Schizosaccharomyces pombe: one gene and its partners. The protein of the gene in region 1 interacts with the protein of each later gene in a biochemical or structural test. Each region holds a gene or a part of one and is shown on either strand. Other genes may lie near its edges.

Region 1 (4,990 bases):
CTATTAGACCACCTACGGTCAAGAGAAAACTTAAAACTAAAGCGTTTTGATCAGGTGTCATTGTATACTTTTGAAAATTTGAAGGTGTCTAGCAGCTTGTTTGTAGTCGAAAACAGACTTCGTATGCGCACATACTCAACAGTGTAACTTAGGGCGCTATCCATGTTCGTTCATTCGTGAGAAACGTCACAATATAAGTAGCAATAAATCTGGGGCTAAAATAAATATCATTGCCATTGAGACAAATTCCCAAAATTTATATTATGTAATTCATTATGTATCGTTATAGAAGAACAATACAGGTGTGGGATAAAAAAACAAAATAAAGTAAGTTTTTATGAGTTGATCTTTTTCTTTATAATGCGAATTATTTGCGAAATACTGAATCCGAAGTTGCTAACCGCCAGTTTATATATCACAATACTACGATTAATGGTTTATAGGCTGGTCTACGAGCAATATGGAACACAACAAATTATCTTTGATCTGACGACTTCTTAGCTAGAATAGAATATTTGTAATAAATATGATAAGCACCGAAATCTGACAGATTATCAGATTCCAATTTTCGAGCGTGCTATTGTTTCTATCGGTATAGGTAGCCAACAGAGAAAGAACATATTTTCAATTTAATCAAAAGACAAAGTGCTCAAAATGAGATATACATTTAATTGTTTACAAAAAGTAGGCTTCTTGGGAGAACCTAAAAGACTTGAATACAGAGAAAAAAGTGAGTTGCTAGCATTTTTAAGTAGCAAGGTTATACACAATTTATATTTCGCACCTTACTGATGATAAATAGTTTTCATGACATGATCAGTTTTGCGAGCGGTAGGTTTGATAAGCCCTAAAAACCTCAATTCTTCTAAACCAAACAAAAATCGAGATTGTAGCTTTGCTTCTTCGAGTTTTCTTTTATCCTCATCTAGTTCATTCAATTCTCTTTGCAGATTCCCCTGAGGTGATTCTCGTGGATGGTTATCATCCTCTTTCAAGTTTTCTTTTCCAGCTTGCAGATGCTCTGAAAATGCTATGTACCAATCGTACAAATTAAGCAATGCACCAGATTCACTATATAACTTATAAAGGATAGATAAATCTGGAAGCCAGGATATCAAATCTTTTCCATCTTTTTCAGCGTTAGAAAACTCGCTGTCAATTTTCTTTTCATCTCCTACATAATACTCTGGATCCATGCACGAACTATGAATCACACTTCTTTGATGTCCTGAAGCAAATGCTTGATTCAACGGTCGACAGTAATCATAAAATAGCACTTCGTAAAAGGGATACATATCAATAGATTCAGTACCCAAGCATCCATATTGAACTTCTTCGTCCAATAATCCTACAATTTTCTTCAAAATTTTAGAAAAGTCAATTATGCTTTTATCAAAGCCAGATTCAACAACTTTTCTTGTATGCTTTGTTCCACTATAGTTTTGCATTCGAACCTCGACGGGCTCTAAGTAATTAGTTGAAGAGTTGCGAATGAGTTCAGAAAGCTCCTGGTGAATTTCTAAGCACTTCATAGTTTGATTTCCAGTAAATATGTTTTCATTTAAATAATCCAGACAAGCCAAGGCTTTGGTAGAATTCATTCTTAAAATTGCCTGACATATACTTTTGTACTGAGGACTTGATAGCCAGTCCCCTTGCAAAAATGTCTCTAAATAATCAGCAAATGAAATTCTAGTCGTTGTTTTCACAGCCATTTCTAATTCGTGCCAAATTTTAGCTTGGGTGCGCAGTAAACGCTCCCGATATAATAAATTCTCGCACATTTGAATGACCATCTCTTGAAAGTAGGTATCATCATTCAACATTTTCTCGACATAGTTAATGCTTTCCAAATCTCCAATTTCCAGACGCTGTTCAATGTGCCGCTGAAAACTAGGAACTGTTCTTAGAGTGGTTAAATGAAGAGGGGATATTAAATGAAAGTCTTTTTGATATATCAAATGCTCTATAATACTCAAAGCGTTTCCATAAAAGTGAGTTAGAATACTATAGCGAATGCATTCAATAACTCTCTCAACACTCCATGAACGCTCGTAAAACATCGAGCGAAAAAATCTCCGAGTCCGCCAGCCAAATTTTAAACTCAAACTCTCCTCAATCGAGGTAAAGAGGCTTTCAAGAATTTCCGTGCTTGCCTTCATGTTAAAAACCTTGGTTTTAACATTGCTAAGGAATTTTGAATCGAGGGATGTATCAAACATTTCAAGCGGTATTTTTAAATTAAAAATTGTGTATAAGCATCCTTGTAACTTTGAATGTCGGACGAGTGAGCTAAGTGCTTCCACAAGAGAAGATAAAAGACGCCGATCACAATCTTCTACATCTTCCAATACCAACACGGTCTTTTCATCAAGTTTTTCAATGTCATACGAAAGGACACCTAGTCCAAATGATCCACCTTTTATTACTCGAAAACATGATTTCAAATCACGATGAGCTTTCAGATTTAACACAACAAAGTTTTTCCACCCAATTTTTTCCATATCGTCTTTAAGTTGCTCGTAAAACTTTAGGTGCATCGAGTTGCTACTCTTATCACAAACGATTGCAGTTCGAAGTAACCCAGTTTCATCTACTGGCTCTGATGCATGTTCACACAATTGTCTCAAAACTCTGGCGTTACTATCATATGTAGTGTGAGTTGTAATTTCTTCTAACTCATTTAACACTTTCGTACAGAGATTTTCTCTTAATTTTACGTATTCTATAGGTTCTTTACCTCCTATCAAAGGAACAAAAAGGCCTTCACTAAACTCATTTCCCAGGCTCTCTGTTGGCTTGGGTTTCACTGAATAAGTTCCCTAAACAATTTAGTTAGATAAAATACTGAAAAAATTCCACTTACTTTACTGACTGAATCATATTGTAGTATTGCTGACATATTAATTTGATATTGTAGAGAAAAAGCCAGATGACTAGCAAATTTAGTATTTGAGTTTACTCTGTTTGCGTGTCACAAATTATTAGCATTATTTCATTTAATTAGGTCTTAATTTGAATCATTAACAAGTGGTTGTCACAAGAGCACCGTTCTGAAAATGGGTACCTTAGAAAGCGTAGTAAGTGCAGAAAGCACTTTGCTAGTTTGTTTTGATGCTTCGAGTTAATAGAATGAGTCGACAGACGTTTGTAGGACTAAAAAAGAATACGAATATACACATATATTTTCATACATCGAAGAATTATTTGATTTGTTGGTATAAGTCTTTTTTTTATTTTCATTAATCATGAGTCAAAGTTTAAGGAATTTTATAAAATATCATTTTTTAAATAAAATAAAAATTTTGGTTGAGTTCACGCCTCATTAATTGTCATCATTTCCTCCTACCGATAAGTCATCTTCGGATTCTGATTCAATTCCTTGAATTTCATGCAGACTTTCAACATTCACATTGAAGCCTTCCTCTGTGAACTGTTCAACAGTTTGTTCGATCTTAGCTAAGGAAGAAGTGATAACAGCTAAGTTATTGCTGGATGAGAAGAACGGTAAACAATAAATTTTTAAACCCTCTAAAAATTGTTGTAATGTGACCTGCTTTACTTTTTCTAAAAATTTATGATCTTCATCTTTGTTTAGACCTTTGATAGATAACAAAGTAAACGAGTTTTTTGATGAGTAAATTGCGTTGTTTTCAAGCTCCGATACTATGCTATAAGATACACATTTGGCAGATTCCAAATCAAAACTACTAACTTGCACCTCACCAGATATTAGCGATTTTACAAGATCGCGACTTGAAGCCCATGCTTTATAGACATCAGGGGAGGTGTTAATACAATAATAAAGCACACCACCATCCACATCAATTGACATATTAAATCCGTAAGCAAGGCCAGAACCACGAATGGTATTCCAAAAAGGGCCATCCATCAACCCTAGATAATTTGCAATCAAGACGATAACTGGAAGTGACGGATCAAGCCAGCTGGTAATACCTGGAATAGAAAATACCAAATCACTACTCTCGTTTGACGGCATCGGAATAACGGTAAGGGAACTGCTACTTCCAAATTCTTGAGGCTTTAAATAGTTCTTAGAGAAAGTCGAAAGAAACTCCATATTTGGATTCCGGTGGCATTCGCTATCAAGTAACTTATTCCATGTACTTATTGGCTGAGGTAATTTTAAAATGTCACCAATTACATGAATACGAATGGCTTGATGCTGTAACATGTAATTTCTCATTTTTTGAAAGGCATCAAAAATTGATGAATGATCATTCTGTAACTTATCCCGTAATTCGCGAAGAATTTTCTCTTGACTTAAGGTATTTAGGCTGTACTTCAATGAGCAATCATTGTATAGACGGATATCGAAATATGATGGTAATATAAATTCTGCGTCACGTTTTTGAAAAGGAATGTCGGCCAGTTGCTGATTTATTACTGATAACATTCTTTCTCTATCCCATACCGTTTTGGCTAATAAATTTCGTATCCAATAAACTCCTTTTTCGTAATTTTCACGAGTGACCTTTATTTCTATAGAAAGCAGTTCACGTTTAGTTTCATAATAAGCGTAACCACAAGATGATGTGTCAAAACTAAGCGAAACATTGAGTGATACAGTGTCACGCTCAAGTTGCTTGACGACTTCGTGATAGGGTGTAGGTATGGTACCTGAGAGCAAGGCCGGAGCAGCTTCTATATATTTAGCAAATACAGAAAGATATGGTTTCAAACTTGAAGGAATCATAGAGGTGTCGATATACGTTGCAAGTTGGACAAAGGAACTATCAATATGATCGAACTGGATGAAAGGGTTTTCTGAAGAAACATCAGTGTCTATATAAGTTTGGACTTCATTGTCAAAAGGTTGACCTGCGGAACGAGTCCTAGCAGTCGTAGATGAGTAAAACCGAATACTCTCTGGATCACTTATCCTGAAGCTTGAAATTAAGTTAACAGAAAGCTTTTGTTCATTCTTTTCTTTTGATTTCTTCAGTTTTTCGGCTAATTTTTCCAATCC
Region 2 (4,347 bases), on another chromosome or scaffold:
TGTTAATCTTTTAAGGAAAACTCTAAATAGACCCTTACTTCATGAAGTTGACTATCACGGAAAAAGTCTTGAAATTCTTGATATGTTGTTGCAGAGCAGAAACAGTATGATATCTTCTTTGCGATCCGAACTACAGGAAAAGAATCAAAAAGATAAAAAAAAAGAAGTAAATAAATTAGAAGAGAAAATGACTAATGCTAAAGAACCTAATGTGAATGTCCCTTCTATGAAAGCGTCATCAGCTATTTCCGTTGAGACGCCTGAGACAATTGAATCAGAAGCTTCAGTGGACCACAAGGAAGCATCAAAGATCATAAAAGATGTAGAAAAAGAAGAATAATTGATTGCCAACCGATCTATCTAGATGTTTTCCAAAAACGGAACAGATTTTTGGTACTCAATAGATGGCTATATGCAGCTTAACTATAATGTTTAGAAATGTATTCAGATCCATAAACTTTTTTACGAAAAAAGATAAAACTCCGAGCTGTCTAAGGGTATTGCTTATTTGGCTCATTTGTTTACGATTTTATCTCTATTGGAATTCCACCAACGCCACGGTCTAAAAAAAAAATGGGAAGCTCCAAATCCTCAAAGAAGGATAAGCAAATCCATCCTTTTGGAACAGATGTTTCTACTTTTCGAAAGCTTTCATCAAAGGAAAAAAAAAAACTCGGTATGTTGGGCAAGTTTCTTTAAATTTCATTAACATGAGTGTTCAGATGAAAAAGAGTTAAAACAATACAAAAAGCTAAAGCATAAAGTTAAAAAGCTTAAGTATGTTTTTTAATGCTTTTTATTAAATCACTACTTCCCACTCTAACATAGTATCAGGAAAGAGGAAAGGGAAAGATCGAGTATAAAAAACACCAAAACTCTAGCGGAGGATCCTATGGGTATGTATATTAAGCATTAACAGTAAATGCTCGTTAACACTGAAAAGTAAAAAACGTAGCTGAAAATGATCATGATCAAATGAAAAACTCGTTAAGTAGGAGTCAGGATAAGGGAAACACTGACTACTGGCTTGCAGCGAGTTTGTCTGGTGGAAATCAACGAAAATCAAAATTTTTAAAAATGTTGGGTATAAAAAATGCTGCATCCATCACTGAATCGTCTCCGTCTGCTCAATCTAATAAAACAAATGACAAGCAGAGAGAGAAAGAACTAGAACAACAATATATGCACGGTGTTTTACACAAAGGAACAAAAAAGGGATTGGGCATGTAATTTGGGGTTTATGTTTAGTTTATTCTTTTGGATAATTACCAAAATTCTCATCTTCCTTTTGTTAAACTAGCTTAAAGTGTTCACTTGCATTCTAAACTAGAGGAAACTTTGCTATGAAATTCAATTTTAGTGAACATTGTAAGAGGTTTACTTTTCTTTAATCGAAATGCTGTTTGCTTTATTGGCCATTAGCACCAAAGATGGTATGGTCCATCAAAAATTCGTTCGTGGGACCTCTGTTATCTTTAGGGATAATTGAAAAAAGATTTTCTAATTTATTAAAAGAATTTAGGGTCTTTTACTTTAATTTTACTAACGTCGTAACTAAATTGGAATATGAGAAGGCATTTCATATCTTTGAGGATGAGTCGTTATAAAATAATATCATTACCTGAATATAAACTTATAGAGTAAAAAGGTTCGCGCGTAGAACGCGACACGACACGTAGAGTTGAACGCGACATCTCATTTACTCTTCGTGATTAATTAGATTTCGCGTTTACGTGTCGCGTCGCGTATATTTATAAAAGACATATCTGCTCTTAAACAAAACTTAAACACCAAGCACGAAGTTAATATTACTTAGTAGCCCTTTTATCAAATTTACCTGACTTGTCTATTGGTAAATAACATAATTAGTAAACGGGGTTACTATAAAGTATCGATATGTGTGAAACTCCAATAGGTTGTCATACACCTCGAAGATGCAATCGTTTTATAGATTCTGCAGCCTTGATTGACTGTACTAACAAAACTAATCAAAGGGAGCATTCACCTTCCTTTTCAATAGAGATTCCGACTACACCCAGCAGAAAACGTACGCTGGCTAGCTCACATTTCCAAACACCCACAAAAAGAATAAAATATGAACTAGGAGAACTGCAAGAGGAGAAAACTGACCTTTATCCTAATTTTCCTGCTCAGTTAAAGGAGAATAAGAAACCTAAATTACCCACAACACCTCAAACTCCTAAAACCCCCAAAAGGACCATTCAAATTGTTACACCCAAATCATTAAATCGTACATGTAATCCTGTTCCATTTGCTACTCGCCTTTTGCAATCGACACCTCACCGTCAACTTTTTCCTCCCACTCCTTCGACACCCTCCACTCCGTCCTATAATTCTACTGCCAAATTGAGTTTACGTAAATCATATCGTTCAGCAGGAGTCGTGGGTCGTGAAAATGAGAAGTCAATTGTGGAATCTTTCTTTCGTCAACATCTTGATGCTAATGCTGGAGGTGCATTGTACGTAAGTGGTGCCCCTGGCACAGGAAAGACCGTTCTGCTTCACAACGTGCTGGATCATGTAGTGAGCGATTATCCCAAAGTTAATGTTTGTTACATTAATTGTATGACTATTAATGAACCAAAAGCAATTTTTGAAAAAATTCACTCTAAAATTGTTAAAGAGGAAATTTTAGAAAATGAAGATCATCACATCAATTTCCAATGTGAACTAGAGTCGCATTTCACCCAGTCCGCCAATGAATTATATAACCCAGTCATTATTGTTTTAGATGAAATGGATCACTTGATTGCTCGCGAACAGCAGGTTCTGTACACGCTTTTTGAATGGCCCTCTCGACCGACTTCGAGATTAATTTTGGTAGGCATTGCAAATGCCTTAGACATGACAGATCGATTTCTCCCTCGTTTACGAACAAAGCATATTACTCCCAAATTACTCTCTTTTACGCCTTATACTGCTCAAGAAATCTCAACAATTATAAAAGCGCGTTTGAAAACCGCCGCTACCACATCAGAAAAAAACAATCCTTTTACTCCTATTAAATCAATCTCTGAAGTAAGCGATGATAGTATAAATGTTGTATCTCAGCATGCTGATGAAACACCTTTTATACATCCTGCTGCAATTGAATTATGTGCCCGGAAAGTTGCAGCTTCAAGTGGTGACTTGAGAAAAGCATTAGACATATGTAGGCATGCAATTGAACTTGCGGAAAGAGAATGGAAAGCTCAACATGACAACACATTATCTTCTGTTGATATACCAAGAGCATCAATTGCTCATGTTGTCCGAGCGACATCTGCTATGAGCCAATCTGCTAGTGCTCGTTTAAAAAACCTTGGTCTTCAACAGAAAGCCATCCTTTGTACGCTTGTTGTTTGTGAAAAAACCTCATTGAGTGTTGCCGATGTATTTGAAAAATACAGTTCTTTGTGTCTTCGAGATCGTTTGATTTATCCATTAACAAGTTCGGAATTTTGCGATGTCGCGAATTCTTTAGAAACTCTTGCAATCATTCGTTTGCGCACGAAGCAGCGTAACGGAAAGCCTCAGGACCGAATCATTAGTTTGCTTGTTCCAGAAATGGATGTCATTACAGCTGTTGGAGACATTGGTACCTTAAAACGATTTTTTGACAGAAGATAGTACTATCATTTCTTTCTCATTCTTTTTTTCTATTCATTATATTTTTATTTCACGCGTTACGGTTTTCAAATTTTGCCGAAAGGATCAAATTAGAACATCCTTTCAATTTCGTTGTTTGGATTACATAAATTTGAACAATATTATTTATCCAACTTGGTGTTTAAACTTTTCAGGTTGATCTTTACTAATTTTACTAACTATACAATTAATAAACACTTTAATCTAAGTTATATCTAATGATTATTCGTAAGAACGCATACCCGTGGTTCAGTCTCAAGTGGTGGTATAAGTAAACTTACGTAGCAAAAGCACTTCTCAATTTTGGGGTCTCTAAGAAAAAATATATACACAAAACTGAATATGATTGACAAAAATTTATAAGACGACATAGTAATCATATAAGCTGCGGAATAACAGTTACTATATCTAGCTAAAGCTTGTTCAATTCTTTTATTCTATGAGATTAACATCTACGGAAATTCGATAATTGATTTGATAAGATTCATTTGCCGATATCTTTTCTAAAGAGTCCACAAAACAACACGTCCGTCGGTACCGCTGGAGGTAAACGCAGTAATATTGCCAGGAGTCCCAGCGTAAGGTCGAAGGGTTGCAATCATATTTTGATGAACGGTTGGTAAAGACGAAATAGACTGGCTGGAGCCCTTCAAATCCATGTTACGGAATGTGCTACGAAGAGCAGTAAATGAAACAGGA
Region 3 (5,838 bases), on another chromosome or scaffold:
TCAGTTTTATTTCCAATGTTTTATAAAGGTGACGGTTATCTCAGCTTCAATTCAAAATTGTTTCAATACTGTACGGTGCCTACAACGAGTGCAGGCTGTTTTTTCCTGCTTTCGTTAAGGCTAGTGTTTCGTTTAAAAGATAAATTGGTTAAATTCATATTCAATTAGCAGTTTATTGAATATTAGTTTGTTTTTGATTTTATAATGAGAATCTTGTTATTGTGATGCTTTTTTTAAACTTTTATGACATATCTTTAAGTTAGTTAAACTGCGTGAATTCCTTATGTGCTATCACTTTTTTTTGGGCTTAAAAGTACCACTGATGAGTCCTTTCGTTTAATCTAATTTATTTTGTTTTTCTTACCACCTTTCATGAAATATTCCGCCAAAATTTTTTTTCTACATTAGTACAAAGTGACCCTGAAACAAAAACTATCATTAAAATGTTTAGGTATTCATTGATCCGTTGATTACTGATTTACCTTCATAAGTCATCTAATATAAATATTTGGAGACCAGCTTCTTTCACAGCTTAACCAGCGCTGATAGCAAAAAAGTAAATTCTATTTTCGTTTATCAGAAGCAAATATTTAATCAATTAAAATTAAAACTTTTATTTATCAAATATCGGTAATAACTACAATGTGTAATGGTATATAACCTTCAACACGGTCGTCCTTATTTTTGCCTTTCTTATATTGTTTTATTTAAAAAGGATACAAAGTTAATAAAATACAACAGAAACAAAAAAAATTGCAATTCTTTTATATAACCTCCTTAAGCCAGCGGTAATAATGCGATGGCAAACGTCGATGTTCACGCAAACCTACAGAAACTACATTGATATCCACTTCTGGCTGCCATAGTTGGCATTGTCTAGAAAGGGCACCACTAACATTAGTAGAAGGGTGAACCGGTATAATCAATCCTATAGACCCTAAAGTTTCCCATGCTTCCAAAGCAACATCCCTTCCCCATAATCGACTGCTATGAGCTAGAGCTCCCGATGCTGCGGCATTTATAACGGAAGATTGATGCAGTTGTCGATATTCTTGATAAGCACTATTAAAGTTGCAAGCTGGAATATCCCTAGCTTCAAAGCGAACTGCACAAATCAATAAAGCCAACTCCAACAAACTTAAATTCTTTACAAGTTCAACCTTATGGTCAGAAACTTTGAGACTGATATTGGCGAAGTCTTCATCAGCAAGTAATGGACGATCAGGTGCCATGGAAAGTATGGGAAATAATAAATCAACATACAATAATTTTAAATTTCTGCTTGCAAAATAGTGATGTTGTACCAATTTATGTAAGTGACTTCGTGTATCGGAAAGCAATTCATCCACTCTCTGGTTCCAGCATGTTATTATTTGGTCTTTTCCGCCTTCGTCAGAAACATACAAAACAGATTTTAAAATTTGCTCAAATTCACTAAGCGAAGAAGGTGGTCGCATGGGAATTACCATGTGACTAAACCTACTTTTTACTCGCTTTTCAAGTGATTCAGAACAATCATAGCGAGTAGTCAAGCCTATGATCAGTATCGGGGCTTTCCTCGATTGAGCAATGTCAAACAAGTTATACAAGAGCATTTGCCGTGAATGCTGAACAAACAGGTCAAACTCTTCTAAAACAAATATCACGGCTGCAGACGTTGTCATTACGTCTTCTGCAATTCCCAAATCCACGGGATGAGACAATGTAGCTAACAATTTTGTAAGTGTATCAGAAAAGTTCATTTCTGATTTTAATGCTTCATCAGACTCGATAGATTCAAGTTCAATAGATAATTGTCGCGATATTTCACGCAAAGCTAGTTTGTCATCTGTCTGGTACGTACCATTCAATCTTACGACATAACTTTTTTCATTTATTTCCTGAGCTGCGCGTGATAGTATATCATCCACGAGAACTGATTTTCCAGAACCCCGTGGACCGACAATAATGACAGAATTACCTTCGCCAAGTACTATAGTTTGTCGGACCCATTGATAAAGCTTTGTCTGTTCATCCATATGTCCTACAAGAGGGATATGGCTTTTCCCACACAACCTTGCAGCAATCGTAGATTTAATAGTATGTAACTGTGAGTCAATTTCAGAATATGGGACGTCATTAAATACAGACTCAACGACAGGATTAGGATAAAGTTTATGCTGACTCTTTTTAGGAGAAATAATAGCAACTTCGAAATTAGGTTTTTTGGGAGGAGGTGTAAATTGAGATTGTCGAAGAAGGGGTAATCTGTCAGATGAAGGAAGTAGTGGAGAAACTGAATTGGGTGATGAAGATTCGGATTGCGGAGTTGCTGAAGAGGAGTGAACAGAGGAATCGGTTAAACCAGGTGTGATATTACGAATTTCCGCATTCTCTTGACGCTTTTTCGGTGGTCGTCCACGTTTTCTAGGAAGCAACGGAGCTGATTCTCGCTGTTGATTATTAAGGAACTGTTGATTATTAGGAGATGTAATAGCAAAATGTTTAAGTGACAACGCGTCTGAGTCATGAAGCATATCCTCATGTTTTCTAGTAAAGGCGCTTAAAGGTACAATTCCACTAGCTATTTTTGGAGGTCTACCACGCTTTCTTTTAAAAAGGGATTGTGATTTTGAATCTAAAGGCAAGCCACTCGGTCTTTCAAGGCGAGGTCTTCCTCTACCTCGTTTGGGTCTATTTTCATCTATTTTATTTTCAGTACTTGTCCCAAAAAGTATCTTGGGCTTATTTAAAGGAGGTCGTCCACGTTTCCGCTTTACTGGGACGTCTGCAGTAGAAAATAAAGGTTGATCTGTGACTACAACTTCCTTCCGTATTTCAGATTGTGGATTCAATGAATAGAATTCAGAAGAAGATTGTTCATTTTCTGGATTCAACTGTGAATGAGTATGTAGATTTGTACCTGTCGATTCAACCGTTACATTATTCGAAATTGGAGTATTTGCAATCTTCTGTTCAGATCGATGTAAAGGTGGACGCCCGCGCCCTCTTTTCGCAGGTAATACTACCAAAGGAGAAAGCCCATTTTGACTTGAGCTCCCTTCTTCTGGTTTTATTTTTCGAGGTCGTCCACGCCCTCTCTTTGGCTTCAGCTCACTTAAATTGGCATGCCCTTCGGCAAAACCTTCTATGATATTCGGCTCATCTAACCCCATCTGTAGATTATTTTGAGTTGTTCCCTCATCTACAGACGGTTGCACTACTGGGAGAGGATGTAAACGAGGACGTCCTCTACCTCTTTTAGGCTTTAAGGGATCATCTAGTTTTGTGGAAGGAGAAGAACTTTTTATTTTTGGAGGTCTGCCACGCTTCCGTTTGATTATAGGCTCCGATCCTTCGTCAATTGGTTTTGGTGGATATTTTCGAGGTCTTCCACGTCTGCGAGGAGCTTCATTGAGACGCAAAGGTGAAGGTGAAGGCGGAGCTAAAGTCGTAGTTGAAATATTATTATCCTGAAATAAAGTGACAGCGGCAATATCTTGCAATTTTGCTTGAGAGGCAGTTAATCCATTATTTGCATCATCATTCGTAGAATTGGGATACTGCTGATCATCATTACCACTTGATAAATTTTGAACATTTGAGGTCTCATTAGTTATGTTTGTCTGGTATTCATTTTCCTTATTTTCATAGATTGCTTCTGTGTCCAAATTCCCAAGATTTGTGAATGGGGATGAGCTCATATTAAAAACTTGAAGATGCACATCCCTATGGTTTTTATACACTGTAAAAATAATGATCCTCTAAATTTAGCCTTTTTATTAACAAATGCAATTAATTGGTCTCTTTTCTAATTATTTTTTTCAATTTCCTCTTGACTTGACAGATGCAGGGTGTTACTTCGATTCTTGGTAAAGGTGAGCAGTAAGATTGGCGTACAGCCTTAAGGACAGGGCCAGTATAGAAATATATTTTTGAAGCTGAAATAATGACTAGGTAATAGTAGTAATAATCTAAAACTATTTTAATCTTTTTCAAGCGATGCTGATGACTATAATTATTTACTTGTTGCATTTATTTGTAAAACCATACATGTATGAAGGGAATGAATTTCAACAGATTCATTAAATATTCATTTTTTATTAAAAAAAAATAGTTCGTTAAAATTAAGGAATGAAGTAAAACACTTCACTTTTGAAATGAGTAATTACCATAAAGCTTTGTAAATTCATACATAAAAGTAGTGAATAGCTGAAAGGAGTCTCAATAGCTATACAAGGTGCCTAAAATTCAAGAGAAAAAATCAAATCTGTTTTTGCTAGCTTTGGTCCAGCAGGTAATCGTACATTAATCAGTAAGTCAAGATATTAATGGTTTATCAAGAATATCCGAAAAATTAACCATATTTGTCGCTCCTTGAAGATACTCGTAAATCTAGTAATGCTTCATGAAGAACTCCTTCCTTAAACGCTTTTTTGAGGGTCTTTTTTTCATCGGTAGAAAGTTTTCTTCCAGCCCTGTAAAATTACAAAGTTAGAATGACGAAAGTAGAAGGGAAACCCCAATAAAATAGAATAGCATAACTTACATAGATTCTAATTGTCTGGAATGTATGGTTGGGTTGTCAAATAAAGAAGACTTGTTTTTCTTTAGGAAACGAGTTTGTACTCGAATTCTCCATTTGGCTTCAGGAATGACAGTGTCAGAGACACATGCAATGGCCTGATCTTGTTTTTCTCTACTTAATGTTAAATATTTTTTCGTTGATACACTTTTCCAAGCCCAAAATCCTGAGCCCAGATTCTCCGCTATCCATTGTTCCTGTGATCCTACCGCCTCTTGCGTACAATACAAGTCTCCAGACTTACTACATGACATGTATTTACCTAAACAGCTTTTCAATAGTATAGTATTGTTCAGTATGGATAACAAAAACACCTGGCGCGTCAATTCTGGCTCTAGCGAAACTTTGTCGAGGGGAAGAAGAACGCAACTTTCTTTAACTTCTTCAATTCCAAGAGATACACCAGCATCATCGTCTATTTTACTACATAAAGTTGTAAGTAAATTAGAAAAAAAGGTATAAGAATATTGAAGTTAAGCTTACTATATAACCGCTGGACCCTCAAGCTCATTTAGCTCGTTTGCGTCCGTCCAAAAAGGATCGTTTTCAGCTGATTCTAGAGAAGATTGAAGTGATTTTGTGTTCTTTTTTTTCTTCTTTTGACTGATTTCTTGTTAGTGATGAACAATATAATATGAATTACCACATTCGAGCAGTTATTTCATTTTATCTTACATCTTTTTGTCTCCCTTGAAAGTTAATCGCATAGACATTTTACCATCAGTAAATTACCAAGAATTTAAACGATTAAAAATCCTTAAAAATGATAATTGTTAATAATGGATAATGACTAAATATTTATGCGTGGTTTTCGAGGAAAAAGCAAGTAGTGGGAGTAGTGTTAAGGATTTGAACAGACCAGATGCTTCTTCGTGCTGAAATCCAATATGTTCTGAGGAATAGGCAAGGTACTCTTAGCAAAACAAAAGAGGTTCAAACGTTTTTAATAAGCAAGGAAATGCTTTATATGAATAGAAATGTTCTGTTGCTCACAATGTGACTTTTGTGACCCATGCTAATGTTGGTTTGTAAAATGGATGATTTGCATAACATTCTAATGGCTTGAGAAAGAAAAAAAATGTGCTTAATTGAATGATAATTTTGAATATAGATGAGAGAAGAAGTATGCACCGAAGACTAGCATTGTTCAATACCAAAAACATTCGTTGAAGGACGAGTCATATTCCAAAAAAGGAAGTCCATTGATGACAATAAGAATTTTTTTTTGCTTATTCAGTTGAAAGCTTACAAAAGATGAGCACTGTTTCAATTTA
Region 4 (3,469 bases), on another chromosome or scaffold:
TTGACTGGTGTGAAAAATTTAGCTCCCAAGGATGAAGAATCCTTCTATTATGCTTTTAAAGTCCAATGTAGTGGTTGTCGAGAGATTCACGACAATGCCATTGAAATCTCCCGCAGCGAGACTCACAGCATACCTGGCAGCAAGGGCGAGGCTAATCTCATATGGACGTGCAAAAATTGTCGCAAAACTTGCTCTTTCGTTATAGAGGGGCCATTCTCTCCTTACAATGATTCTCAAGAGACGAAAAAAGTTCTCGTATTGGAATGCAGAGGATGTGAACTAGTCGAATTCATTCCTCAGGGAGAATGGATAGCTAATGGTGCTGAAAGTAATACACTTTTTGACGAAATAGTATTAGAGGATGATTGGTATGACTATGATGAAAATGCCTCTTCAGAAGTGTCTATTACAAATTTGGAGTGGTCTATTAGTAAAGCTTAGAGTCTAATTTAACTTTTTTTTACTCATGTATTTGTATATATCACTAAAGATATCGTGTACCCGTTTATAAATGTTGTTTAATGTACAAAAAAAAATTAATATAGTAAATTGTATTCATGAAGCAGTACCATCTTTTTCAAGCTGGCTTTTGTAATATTGGATTCTTTCTTCAATGCAGGCCTTCCATATTGGATAATTTTGAAGTCGTTTTTCGTAATCTATTTGAATCATGCTTGCTATCCCACTCCAAGGTTTTATCCGTTGCTTTTGAGATTCATAACCCTCTATACCATTTAAAGGGATTTCTTTATACTGCCAACTTTCTGAGAGGACATGCATCCAATACTGAATTTGCAATGCAGAACTTGTATCCTGTAAAACACTCTGTGCCTTTCTTCTCTCGGTGTGATTTATATGAAGTTCGTCTTTTCCAAAAGCTTTTGCCGATACTAGTAAATAAGCTGCGATTATGATGCCTCTTTTGTGTTCGATGCGCATGTCGTTTGTAACAACGGCTTTCACCAATTGTTTAACATAAGGTATAGCAGTTGAGCCCCCTAGTTTGGTACAAAGATAAGTAATGGTTTCCATCAGATCATCTTTAGCTGCTAAGGATTTAGTTAATGGAGATAAGATTTCTTGAAAGTAAGTGAAAAGTTTATAGTATTTCTTTTTTGGAATTGGAGTCGCTAGTAAATTTATTTCCAAATTTAAATCATTGGATAATCTTTTTAAAGAGTCAGAACAAGTTCAAGTAGAGTAATTAAACATCAGAAGTTACTTACAGTTCACAAGCTAAGTGCGCTGCCATATAAGGACGGCATAACTCTTCTGTCGCCTTTAGATTATGTTTATATTTGGACCATTCCAAAAATGACTCTCCTAAACTAATAAGCCGTTCATTATATTCTGTACTTTCAGTGGGAATTATTCTGCGTAAAGACTCTATAATCTGTTGTCGCTCCATGAGAAAATGAATATATTTAATAAAACTTTTATCATTTAATTTTGATTATTAATTATTGAAATCATGTAATCATTCATAATATCATAATAGTGGTGAACGCTTAGTTTGTTTTATGTCAATATGGTGTTTAATACAGAGACATTTAAACGATGTTTTTAATGCTGCTAATACTACCAGCTGTTTCAAAAATATAAAATCTATCTACTTGATGCACCACTGAATTTGGTGTTTATATTCCGTACTTATTTAATATGACTCTTGCTTAATCATTCCGGTTGCTAGTTATCTTAAATAATGTCACCAAAAGCTTAGAATTTAGACCTACATTCTTCAAGATATTACTACAAAACTTTCGAAGCAGTCTTCAAATTTTTTTTTATTTAATAATGAATTACGATTGCTTTATTGGGAGGTAGTGTTTTAGGCTTGATAATTCGGTATATTACTCTCTTTTAGTAGTTTAATCAAGGCTATATGAGGCATACAGAATAAAATATGCGTGAATAGCGTGAGTTAATATTAACTACTTTCCATGTTGGTTTCATAAATTTTAAGCGAACAAACAAGTTTAGGTGGAACCGTTGAATTATTTGATGACTTTTTAAATTTTTAAAGGAAAAAATGATGAACGATCAACTGAATAGTAATAAATTAATCCTTATTGATTGAAAGGTTGGATAATGAAATCGACTTACAACGTTACTGACAGGGTTAAGCTGACGGACTCGCACTTCTCATACAATCTCGGTACTCACCACTTTAGCAATTGAGGAAGTTGAGAAAAGTACTTAACTTTAGCATTAATCATATAGCTCAATGAAAAATATTAAATATGAAAAAAGAACATCATAGCCCTTGGCCGGACTCTTTGAAAGAATTTATTGGTAGATGCATCCAAGACGCTGAGGAAAACAGCCAGCCAGAATTAGAGGATGAAGTAAAATTGCTAATTTCTCGTCAATACGAAATGGGAAACATATGGAATGTTGATTGGTCTTCTATGAATTTAGAATCCCTAAGGAAACTGACAAATGCTCAAAATACAATCATCGAAGATAAAAAAAGAAAGGTTGAGAAGCCTGTTTCTGGAAATCAATTTTCACTTTTAAGTGAAGAAGATGAAGTGGATAAGAAAGAAAAAAGAAGAAGAAGGTTTGAAAATGGTTCTCGTTCTCAAAATAACGCTAAATCTGAAGAGCTAAAAGTCAACCCGGAGAATGGTGCTATTATAGGACGGTCCACAGAATTAGAGAAAAGGTATTTGCGATTAACTTCGGCTCCTGATCCGGATACTGTTCGACCCCTTCCAGTTCTTAAGCAAACTCTCGAACTTTTAAAGAAGAAATGGAAAGAAGAGAAAAACTATGCATATATATGCGATCAATTTAAAAGTTTAAGACAGGATTTAACTGTGCAAAGGATTCAAAATGAGTTTTCTGTATTAGTTTACGAAATACATGCTCGTATAGCTCTTGAAAAGGTACGGTTAATTACTTTAAAATATCATTTCTTCTTCTAACGTTCGACTAGGGTGATGTTGGCGAGTATAACCAATGTCAAACTCAATTATTTCATCTTTACAGTTTTGGTATACCAGGGAATACTAAGGAATTTTTAGCATATCGTATTCTGTATATGCTCTTCACTAAAAATCGATCTGGTAAGTTAATTACGGCTTACTGCTTAAAAGAATATATCTTTTGAATTCAAATTATTAACAATTTATAGAAATGAATAGCCTTCTCGCCAATCTAAAAGAAGAAGACAAAACAAACGCTGCTGTTACACATGCATTAGAAGTCCGTTCGGCGATGGCTACTGGCGATTACTATAAATTTTTCCATCTATATTTAGTCGCTCCCAACATGGGAGGTTATTTGATGGATCTTTTTATTGAGAGAGAACGAGTGCAGGCGATGATAATGATGTGCAAAGCATATCGCCCTTCTCTTACAATGGAATTTTTGGCTAACACACTAGCATTTGAAGAAATGGAAGATTGTGTAAACTTTTTTAGGAGTTGTAATGCTGTATACGATTCAAAAGATCCCAATCGCATAC

Evidence for each region.
Region 2: the proteins of orc3 (region 1) and cdc18 form a complex in vitro, tested with the Schizosaccharomyces pombe proteins (one study listed by BioGRID).
Region 3: the proteins of orc3 (region 1) and orc4 form a complex in vitro, tested with the Schizosaccharomyces pombe proteins (3 studies listed by BioGRID).
Region 4: the proteins of orc3 (region 1) and orc6 form a complex in vitro, tested with the Schizosaccharomyces pombe proteins (2 studies listed by BioGRID).

The regions. Positions count from the first base shown.
Region 1 is NC_003424.3:1,928,263-1,933,252, forward strand, and holds orc3 (origin recognition complex subunit Orp3), read right to left. Parts: upstream 3,042-4,990; 5' UTR 2,903-3,041; coding exon 2,867-2,902; exon of another isoform or gene 2,823-2,866; coding exon 786-2,822; 3' UTR 509-785; downstream 1-508. Other genes in the region: SPOM_SPAP14E8.05C (uncharacterized protein), read right to left, coding at 1-61; sdd3 (metallopeptidase), read right to left, coding at 3,326-4,990.
Region 2 is NC_003423.3:2,215,423-2,219,769, reverse strand, and holds cdc18 (MCM loader), read left to right. Parts: upstream 1-1,785; 5' UTR 1,786-1,896; coding exon 1,897-3,630; 3' UTR 3,631-3,815; downstream 3,816-4,347. Other genes in the region: protein tam10, read left to right, coding at 574-676, 723-777, 835-896, 944-1,230; arc1 (ARP2/3 actin-organizing complex WD repeat subunit Sop2), read right to left, coding at 4,152-4,347. UniProt on the Schizosaccharomyces pombe protein: Part of the checkpoint control that prevents mitosis from occurring until S phase is completed. Plays a key role in coupling S phase to start and mitosis. Acts at the initiation of DNA replication and plays a major role in controlling the onset of S-phase.
Region 3 is NC_003423.3:2,023,388-2,029,225, reverse strand, and holds orc4 (origin recognition complex subunit Orc4), read right to left. Parts: upstream 3,839-5,838; 5' UTR 3,684-3,838; coding exon 765-3,683; 3' UTR 550-764; downstream 1-549. Other genes in the region: FRG1 family mRNA-processing protein, read right to left, coding at 4,337-4,457, 4,529-4,987, 5,048-5,167, 5,240-5,277. UniProt on the Schizosaccharomyces pombe protein: Component of the origin recognition complex (ORC) that binds origins of replication. It has a role in both chromosomal replication and mating type transcriptional silencing.
Region 4 is NC_003423.3:2,965,294-2,968,762, reverse strand, and holds orc6 (origin recognition complex subunit Orc6), read right to left. Parts: upstream 1,511-3,469; 5' UTR 1,409-1,510; coding exon 1,227-1,408; exon of another isoform or gene 1,170-1,226; intron 1,169-1,169; coding exon 556-1,168; 3' UTR 501-555; downstream 1-500. Other genes in the region: protein ess1, read left to right, coding at 1-441; iss9 (nuclear export factor), read left to right, coding at 2,241-2,888, 2,939-3,068, 3,137-3,469. UniProt on the Schizosaccharomyces pombe protein: Component of the origin recognition complex (ORC) that binds origins of replication. It has a role in both chromosomal replication and mating type transcriptional silencing.